Rattus norvegicus: one gene and its partners. The protein of the gene in region 1 purifies or fractionates together with the protein of each later gene. This does not show direct contact. Links are inferred from orthologs where the notes say so. Each region holds a gene or a part of one and is shown in the gene's direction. Other genes may lie near its edges.

Region 1 (2,378 bases):
ATTATTATTTACACATTTCTGTTTCCTTGAGCCACTGTCTTAGGCCTTTGTAGTTGAGGATGGTCTTGAATTTCTAGTCTTCCTGGCTTCACTTCCCAAATGCTGCAATTACAGGTCTGGTTTATTCGGTGCCATAGATCTAACCCAGGGCTTTGTGCATGCTAAGCAAGCACTCTACCAACTGAGCTACATCCCGAATTAGAGCATGGGGAATTTTCAGTGAGAACCTGTACTGAGTACACTGATAGAGCAAAGAGTTTCTCACTGAAGGTCAGAACCCCAGTGACTCACACACAACCCTTTTCCTTGCAGTGGTACCCAGAGGTGACCCATTTCTGCAAGGGGGTGCCCATTATTGTTGTGGGCTGCAAGATAGACCTGCGTAAGGACAAGGTGCTGGTGAACACACTTCGGAAGAAAAGACTGGAGCCGGTGACCTACCACAGGGTAGGTAGGAAGCTAGCTGTGGATGAGAGGCATTTGGGGAGGGAACCTCAGGACACCTCTCTGCTATGCCAGGCATTTAGCACTCAGGGTCTTGGAGGGCGTCAGCAGTCAGGAAGGGTCAGCACTTGGAAACAGAACCCAGAATACTCAAGGAGTTCTGACAGGACAGATAAGTAATATGTATAGCACAAATGAGACCAAGGTCCATGTTATTTTCGACCCTTCTTTGCAATACATGGATTAGTTACCCACTGAGGGTGCCCTAGAGAAGCCCCGCTTCCTACTATTGTCCTCAAGACTCCTGGCACAGTCAGAAGGGCTACAGCAAGACCAAGTGTGAGTTTCACCCCACATCCCAAACTCATAGTAACTCCCACTGCTCTTTGGCAGGGCCATGATATGGCAAGGTCTGTGGGAGCAGTGGCCTATCTCGAGTGTTCAGCTCGGCTCCATGACAACGTGGAAGCCGTCTTCCAGGAAGCAGCTGAAGTGGCTCTCAGCAGTCGCAGTCATAACTTCTGGCGGCGGATTACCCAGAATTTTTGCGTGGTCACCTGACTGGTTTGGAACTCACCTTGCCTTCCGATTTACTCAGCTGGAGAAAGACCCAGGAGCAGACCTTCTACTCTGTTGACTGGGATGGACCTAGTCCCCAGGCTGAACTGGTAGAACCACACAGCCACAGATGGACTCCACTGAGGCCTGGCCCCTGGACAGAGGAATCCTGGATTGAGGAAGAGGGTTCCCAGACCCTTAGCTCTGGAACCATTAACAGACTCCCTGTGCCCAATCCTGGACCTGCATCATGAGTGGGAGGTCTGTGTGGTCTGATTTGGCGCCACCTTGTGGCTATTCTCTGAGTTATAATATATCTACAGGACCCAGGGTTCCTGAGACCAACCTGCCCAGGCTAACACGCTGCCCTGCCGTGTCCCTGATCATCCTCTTCATCCCATTGATAAGTGTAACAACTAAAATGGCATCACTTGTTCTTAGTGTCCTGACTCTTGCTTCAAAGCATTTTTGCATCCTACTAGGTAGGAAAGAGCCCACCTAGACCCTAGGGTGGAACTGTTAGGATCCAAACCTTACTTTATCACTTCCAAGACCTTGACAAAGTTCTAGGCCTCAGCCTCATCTGTAAAATGGCCAATCAGAAACGGGGTTGGGGATTTAGCTCAGTGGTAGAGCGCTTGCCTAGCAAGCGCAAGGCCCTGGGTTCGGTCCCCAGGTTCGGTCCCCAGCTCCGAAAAAAAGAAAAAAAAGAAAAAAAATTACGTCAAGCATGAGCAAAGCATGAGCAAAAGTCATGAGGACTGCATATGCAGAGCTTAGCAGGTGCCTGGCATCAACGGTGTGTTCTCTCATTTGTCTACTATGTTAATAGATTTCTCCAGAAACAGAACCAGTGAGACACACACAACACAGAGGGAGATAGTGCAGTGGTGCTTCTCAGGGGCCACCACATAAACCAAACAACCTAAATTCAATTCCAAGAACCCACACAAAGAGCAGGATGTGGGGTTGATGAGGTGGTTCAGATAAAGGTACTTGCCACCACGACTTGAGTTCCTTGGGATCCATATGGTAGGAAAAAATTGACTCCTGCATTGACCTCTGACTTCATGCACATACCTTAGTATAAACCCACCCACACACACACAGTAAAACTAAAGTATAATTTAAAAAAAATTTTAGGATAGAGGCTAGTGATCAAGAGTACTGGCTTGTCTTCCAAAGGACCTAGGATTGGTTCCCAGCACCCGCGTGGCAGTGCACAGTCACCTGTAATTTCTGTTCTGTGGGATTCAGTGCCCTCTTCTACCTCAGGCACAAAACGTCAGACAAAACATACACACCATAAAATATAAAATCAAGCCAGTGGTGGTGGCCCATGCCTTTAATCCCAGCACTCTGGAGGCAGAGGGGAA
Region 2 (3,660 bases), on another chromosome or scaffold:
TCTTTTTATAGTGTTCAGTAAGGCTTCTCAGTATGTTCTCTTGTATATATTCCTAACTTCTTACAGCATTGGTCACAACGATTGCCTTTGTTTCATTGGTTCGTTTGTATTATTGTCTTAACCTTGTCTTCCATCCTTGATAATTATTCCTTGGCTCAGTTTCTTTTACTGATTTTGTTCTATAGTGTAGGGTTATTATTATTGTTATTATTATTATTACTATTATCATTATTATTATTGATATCATTCATAAGTAACACTCTGACACCTTTCCTACATTTTAGTTGTTTTGATATTTCTGTTTTTGAAGAAATTGTGAGTTTAATGAAAATGAGATAAACACTTGTTTATCAACCTTTAAAAAATGTAATACCTTTAAATTTAGGAAATATTATTGTATATATTTTAGTTTTTGTCAAAGAAAATGAATATGATAATAACCAAGTTTTGAGTTTTATAATAGATTCTGTCTATATATTAAACCTAGAAACTTTAAAAATAACAGGTTTATGAGTAGACTGAAATTATCTATAAGCTCATGACCATGGTCTTAATGTTAATGACAGTGCAAGCTATTCATAATTGCTTTATACTATTATTATGGCTACTGGGTTCTTTGAATTCTCACAACTTGCTGTAATAATTTAAAAAGGACTGCTACCAGAATAGTATTGGCAATAAAATTTGACAATTCTAAAATACCATATTGGATTTTTTTGCTTCAGGCTTATACAATGATTTGATCTTCATTATGATGTCGCGGAGACAGAAAAATGTTTAAAGAACTAATCCATACCTTCTAAAAATCACTATAAGTAGTAATACATCATAATGGAGATACAGTGGTCATACTTATTCAGGTTTCTGGTAATATGATTGGTGAAGAATTATGTATTTCCTGGAAATGTTAATGAACCACAAATGATTCATACATGACATATTTTGAAAAAAAATTGTTTGTGTCTGTGTGTAGTCTGTATGGCAGTAGGTTTTTGTGTGTAAGTATGTTTGTCTACAGTATGTGTTTAGATATGTTCTTGTGAATGCAGACAGAGGCAAGGGGTCAAATTGGTTATTATGCTCTACATTTTCTGTGAAATTATCTTGTGAAAATGTCTTTCTCACTGAAACTGGAGGAATGCTGATAAGTTCCTCTAGTCTTCCTGTCAACACCGCAGGCAGATCTGGGTTTACAGATGTGCATCATCACCATCCCTGGCTTTTTACATCCTCCTCATTTGCACCCTATTCTATACAGCTAGTACTCTAATTCACTGAGCTATTGCTGTAGCCCATACAATCTTTTCCTCCTTATAATATTCTTGGGTGGAGGTATACCATGTACTTTTATTTCACCTATTAGATGAAAGGAAGTGTTCTGTTGTTCTTAGTTATTCACAGAGTGAAGTTAAGACTAATATATCCCGGGCTCTGATGATGGTGTTTGAAAGCCTAAAGGCACAATGCACAATGCATATTTCTTTTCATTCTTAATCTTAGTAACAGCCATTAAATACACGGAAGATTAATTAGAGTCTGTTTTATATATTTTCAAGTTTTTAGTACTTTGACAAGCTATATTTAGAGATGTTTATATCATAATTTGTGTTACATAATATCTCTCTGAAGTGCTGTTGAATTTATTAGCACATGACGATTTGTCTTCTGCAAATTTTAATGCAAAATGTCCCTTATTTTTATTTTTCCAGTCAGTGGTCATTTTTAAAGCCAAAATTACCTTGGGAGATTACAGAAAAATGGTGTGTTTTAAAACCTTTGACACATCACACAAATTGCAACTGTAGCTATGCATATTAAATGCATATGATTTTATAAAACAGATATTTTTTAGAAATATTCTGCTTACATAGGTCTTCATATTAGTCTTTAAAAGAAATGACTCAGCCCAGTTTTATAAGCTCGTGTGACTGTCCTGAGTAAATGTTCTGCACTGAATTCAAGACATTGCTTGCTACCCAAGGCCAAGAAACATATTTTTTTTTTGAAAAGGACAACTTGTAGCTGTTTATAACTGTTTCTGTGCTCATAGATTTAGTATTAAGGAATCACTTAACTTTCATTAACTTTAGCAACAATACCTTAAATAGATAGATAAGGTGGATAAGTATTTTCGAACACAAGCTTCAATCCCTGCAAACTAGAATATTAAGTCTGTACATACTTTCAATCAATTACATCACACTCAATTTGGCCCCCTAATGTTAAGAGTGCCTTTAAGCCTTAGTCATATTTTCTGTCCAAAGAAGTGTAAATATTAGTGGAATTATTTCCTTCTTGGCGCTAGTGGAAAAAAAAAAAACCTGAGTTCTTTTTGCATTCTGAATTCCTTCATAAGAAAATTGATTGATGCAAGTAGAAAAACGTTCTCAAATATTTTCTCCTTTGTACAGGCCACAGTATTATAAAATAATTGAGGAGTGTGTTTCACAGATAGTGCTGCACTGCAGTGGCATGGATCCAGACTTCAAGTACAGGCAACGCATAGACTTTGATTTCACTCATCTCATAGGTATGGGTTATGCTCTTCGCTGTCATTCATGTCTCACGCCTTCTGCCTCCTGAGCACTTTTTTACTGGATATTTTATGTATTTACATTTCAAATATTATTCCCAATGGAGGAGTTAGAAAAAGGAGAGGGAGCTGAAGGAGTTTGCAACCTCATAGACAACCGGACACCCTAGAGCTCCCAGGAACTAAACCACCAACCAAAGGGTACATATGGAGGAAACCATGACTCCAGCTGCATATGTAGCTTTTTGGGCATCAGTGAGAGGAGAGACCCTTGGTCCTATGAAGGCTTGATGCCCCAGAGTAGGGGAATGCCAGGGCAGGGAGGCAGGAGTGGGTGGGTGGGTGAGGGAGCACCCTCACAGAAGTGGAGGAGGGAGGATGGGATAGAGGGTTCATGGAGGGGTTAACATTTGAAATGTAAATAAATAAAATATCTAATAAAAAGAAAAAGTAATAATTCTTAAAAATTCTTATATGTTTAGTTATATATTTAGTTATTTTAGCTTAGTTTTCCCTCACTAGGTTCTTTTTCTGAAATGTAATATAAGTAGCACCACATAGCACATATTCTCTGTGTTTGTGTTTTTACATGAAGAATAATTTTGAGATTCATTTCTGTTTTTTTCATGTCTTGATTTTTATCCGTTGATATTGTGAAATAGTATTCATGTAAGAATATAATATAATTCATGTTTCTTGGTGGTCAGTTGCATTCTCCCAGAGTTCAACTGTTGCAATAAAGCTGTTCTGTATCATTTGTATAGAACTGCAACTCCGACATAAGTTTCAATTTCCTTTGGAGAAATATTGGGTTAATGTAGAAACATTAGACTCAAAATGTGTTTTTCATCATGTTTATTAACTAGATTCTTACAATTGTAAGTTTTTTCTTTTTGTACACGATGCATTTTGTTTCAGATCAGAAGTTAAGTAAAATATTTTACTGGAAAACTTAAACTGATGAATGTCTCTGCACTTTCCTCCCCCAGCTTTTTAGCAGATCATTTTGAAATTTTATTATCTTAAACATGGAGTTTTTTACCACCTCTGTCAACAAAATAATGTGTATTTTTTAAAAGAATTATGTAGTGTTAAAAGTTGAATTATAATTGAAGACTTTCAGTGCA
Region 3 (3,760 bases), on another chromosome or scaffold:
TGATGACTTGAGTTCAAGCCCTGGAACCCATGGGAGATGGAGAGAACCAATCCCTGAAAGTTGTCCTGTGTGTGCACATATGTGCACCTAAAAAGGAAAACAGCCTAGTCTAATAATCTATGGGCTCAGCCATGCAACTACTACGAAGGACTGATGGCGGCATGTGTCCACTTGTGGTTGGCCTAAGCTTACGCAGTGTTTGGGAAGTCGGATGATGAGGGCAGGAAAATCCAGTCGGCCGGGGCTGGCATTGCAGCGTGTGAGCCATCTGAGTTTGGGCCTCTGCCCTCACCAGCTCTCATTACTCACATCCTGGGCTTCTCCCTGACTCAGTTGTGCCTGTCACCTCCCTGATCCAGGCCAGTGCACACACTCCTCCAGTCTGGAAACCTTTCTACTGACATTTTTCTCCTACTTTATCCTTTAGGTCTCAGGTAAATGTCACTCATCAGGTGAGGCCTTCCTGAGCACTGTTTGGATCAGCTCAGTAGATGAAGTGCGTGCCTTCAACGGTGCATCACAGCTCGTTAGCCTGCGGTCCAGGGCCTGCCTGGGCAGACCACCTTCCTTTTTTGTTCTGTGAACTAAGAATGGTTTTCACATATTTGATGGTAGCAAAAAAGTTTTAAAAATACTGTTTGTGGATATGCTAAAACATCTTTAGAGTTTTTAAAAATCTTTGTTTTGAGAGAGGGTCTCACGTAGCTGAGACTGGTCTTGAACTCACCGCGTTGTGGTTCATTGTCCTGGACCTTCTGATTTTCCTGCTTGTACTTCCCTAGTGCTGGGGTTTCAGGTGTACACTACCAGATCTCATTTTCCATGGTGCTGGAATGAAACCCTGAGTTTTGCCCATGTTAGTCTGCATTGCCCCAACTGACTTGCATCCCCAGCCTTGGGCGTTATAACCTTACATGAAGTTCATGTTTCACTTTCTAGAGTGGAGTGTTATTAGAACGTGGGCTCACCATGTTTACATATGTCTGTGGCTGCTTCTGTTGGAAAATGGCAGCACTCAGTGTTTGTAGCAGAGGCCAAATTTTCTACAGCGCTTACAGCATTTACTGTCTGGCCATGCACAGGAAAGGTCTACCATCTGGCCTGAACACGAAGGGCCAGAGAGAAGAAACTATTGAAATCATCCTGTTGGGAGGTGAAAGGTGGCTGCCTCAGGCCAATACCCTGACGTTGGAGAGGGTGGAGCCTGGGATCCAGCCTGACAGAGCAAGCAACTTCCCCGACTTCTCTCTGCACATCCCACACCTCACTCCCTGCCGGCCAGATTTTCCTGTGTGAACACCTTTGCTTTACCAGCAAACCAACTCTTCCTCAAGCTTCTCCAGTGGCTCCGGCCTCCTCAGCTTCATCTTTCCAGAGGTGACGGGAAAAGGTTCTGGGTGTGACGTGCTTGGAGAAGCAGTTGGATCTGTGCTCAGTGAAGTGCTTGAGGGGGAGAGAGCCTGTGCAAGTGGCTCCTGCCTGAGAGGTCAAGTGGATGATTGCTTTAACTTCCTGTTTTGATCTGTATCTGGGGATGCGGCTCTGAGAAGTGGCCATCCAAATATGTGGATGAACTGGCTGCCAGTTGGACATCTCAGCTATCTCTGTGCATCATGGGTAATTTAAAGATGCATTTAATCAGTTGTGGTTCCAGTGAGGAACTGGCTTTCCAGTGAGGAAATCTTGACCTTTGGGCTTTACTGAAGCTAAGCACAAATTGCCGTCAAGGCAAAGTAGTGCTCTATACTAAAATTATTTCAATCAGGTTCTGACCTGTTGTAGACTGCAACTTATTGCCCATGTTAGGATTAGTCACCCCGTCATACTCTAATATTTATAGGTGGTGTTTTCCTTTTAAAATTTGGAAACTGTCTTGGACTGAAGTTTAGGTCCTAACACTATCTCCTGGTCCTTCAATATGACCAGAATGCTGTGTAGCCTGAGTTATGTAAATCAACATAGAAAACGCAAAGGAAAACCTCTGTCCCAAAATGTTTGGGTGGTCTGTGTGTGAGGCATTAAGCAGCACTCGCCTTGGGTCTTTGTCCTCATGGAATAGACTCTTCAAAGAGGGGAGAAAGATCAATATCACAAATTACTGTAACTGTCAGTCGTGGCATCCTGAAATGCTATGACGGTTCAGACAAGTCTAGCTGGGTATTTAGCAAGACTGCCTGGAAGATGTGTGTAAACTTCTCAACCTCGAAGCCCGGGTGGGAACCTTAGGACCTTCCAGGTGCTACCCTGTGCATATTTCTATCTATTTCATTTTCTTGCCTTTATTTCCCAGAAGTCTAAGTACTCCACCCACCATACAGACCTTGACCTGAATAATCTTATTTACTGTTAACAGGCTCCGCAGGACACTGACCTGGCTTCCAAAGACATTGTGGTTCCTACCATTTTGACACAGACTAAAGACAAACACCAAGAGTTGTAGTTTAATGAGATCCCTTGACCTAGTGTGCACCAACTGCCTACCTGTGTGGAGTACAAGACGAGAGATTGGCTGGCATAGTGGTTCTCAACCTTCCTAATGCTGCAATCCTTTAATACAGTTCCTCATGTTGTGATGACCCCAACCATAAAATTATGGTTGCTAGTTCATAACTGTAATTTGATACTGCTTTGAATCGTATTGTAAATATCAGAAATGCAGGACCCCCAAAGGGGTCCTGACCCACAGATTGAGAAATACCAAGCTAGAGCCTTCATAGTTGATTTGAGATATCTGTGCTATATATTATATATATAAAAAAATCCATTTGCAACAGATTACAGGGGAAACAACCAGTCCTTCCCACAGGAGTTCTGGCAAGCTAGTTGTCCACATCACCATACCTTGGTTAATTTCTTCCTCTTCTTGGTTCTTTTAGAAGTGCTAGGGGAGGAATTTGGGACCTGACACATCTGTTTTGAGTCTTTTTAACAGGCATTTTTTTTTTAACACTCATGTCCCTCTTCTAAAGCCAGTAAATAATTGCATCAATTTTTTCTTAAAAAAAAAAACCCTCTTTTCATTAATGGTGAAAATAGCACGTCTTTATTGTAACGATGTGGGGTACACTAGAGGCTCTATGTCTTAAAAGTCCAAAGTGACCACACACGCCACAGAGCCAACTGCTACTCATGTTTCGATAAATTTCTTTGATCCTTCTTATGCTCATCCATGTGGATTTTTAAAATAAATATGTGATACTACAAATCTATAGTTATGACCGTGTCACTGAGTATCTTCTCACATAGGGGCCACTGTGACCCACCATCTTTGTACTATAATAATGTGTTTTAGGTGATTTCCATCATTGTCACTTATTAAGTGTTTCTGTTTTTTGGCTGTTTAGATAATGGTTGTGTGTGTGTGTGTGTGTGTGTGTGTGTAAACATCTTTGTGTCTCTGAACATTTAAGGATATATTCTATATTCCCAGAAGCAGAAATACTAGGTCAGAATGTGTACCTGTTTTAAGGCTTTGATGAGTTGCTTTAAAATATGCCGAGCCAGATTCCAGCTGCCATCTGCCCATCACAGATGTGTCTCACTGCCTAATTGCTCTGGAACAGGGTGGAAAGATGTTGACAAAAGTCATGAGAACAAGGGACAAGAAACTGAGAGGAGTACAAGATATCGGGGGACATGAAGAGTGGCCTGTGAATAAAGTAGGGCATGAGTAACAAGACAGAAAACACAGGGAAATTGGGCTGAGATCCGGTGCGGAGCACTGAAAGCCACTTTAGGATAGTACTGAGGAGCTATGAGC

Evidence for each region.
Region 2: the proteins of Rhod (region 1) and Diaph2 purify together in Homo sapiens (co-immunoprecipitation; 3 studies listed by BioGRID and IntAct, with this or other methods). This does not show direct contact. The link is inferred for Rattus norvegicus from reciprocal best matches to the Homo sapiens genes RHOD and DIAPH2.
Region 3: the proteins of Rhod (region 1) and Daam1 purify together in Homo sapiens (affinity purification with mass spectrometry; 3 studies listed by BioGRID and IntAct, counting the BioPlex papers as one, with this or other methods). This does not show direct contact. The link is inferred for Rattus norvegicus from reciprocal best matches to the Homo sapiens genes RHOD and DAAM1.

What each region holds. Positions count from the first base shown.
Region 1 is NC_086019.1:211,137,513-211,139,890, reverse strand, and holds the end of Rhod (rho-related GTP-binding protein RhoD), read left to right. Parts: intron 1-312; coding exon 313-447; intron 448-837; coding exon 838-1,005; 3' UTR 1,006-1,765; downstream 1,766-2,378. UniProt on the Homo sapiens protein: Involved in endosome dynamics. May coordinate membrane transport with the function of the cytoskeleton. Involved in the internalization and trafficking of activated tyrosine kinase receptors such as PDGFRB.
Region 2 is NC_086039.1:96,941,599-96,945,258, forward strand, and holds part of Diaph2 (protein diaphanous homolog 2), read left to right. Parts: intron 1-2,411; coding exon 2,412-2,530; intron 2,531-3,660. UniProt on the Homo sapiens protein: Could be involved in oogenesis. Involved in the regulation of endosome dynamics.
Region 3 is NC_086024.1:96,181,658-96,185,417, forward strand, and holds the start of Daam1 (disheveled-associated activator of morphogenesis 1), read left to right. Parts: upstream 1-1,323; 5' UTR 1,324-1,617; intron 1,618-3,760. UniProt on the Homo sapiens protein: Binds to disheveled (Dvl) and Rho, and mediates Wnt-induced Dvl-Rho complex formation. May play a role as a scaffolding protein to recruit Rho-GDP and Rho-GEF, thereby enhancing Rho-GTP formation. Can direct nucleation and elongation of new actin filaments.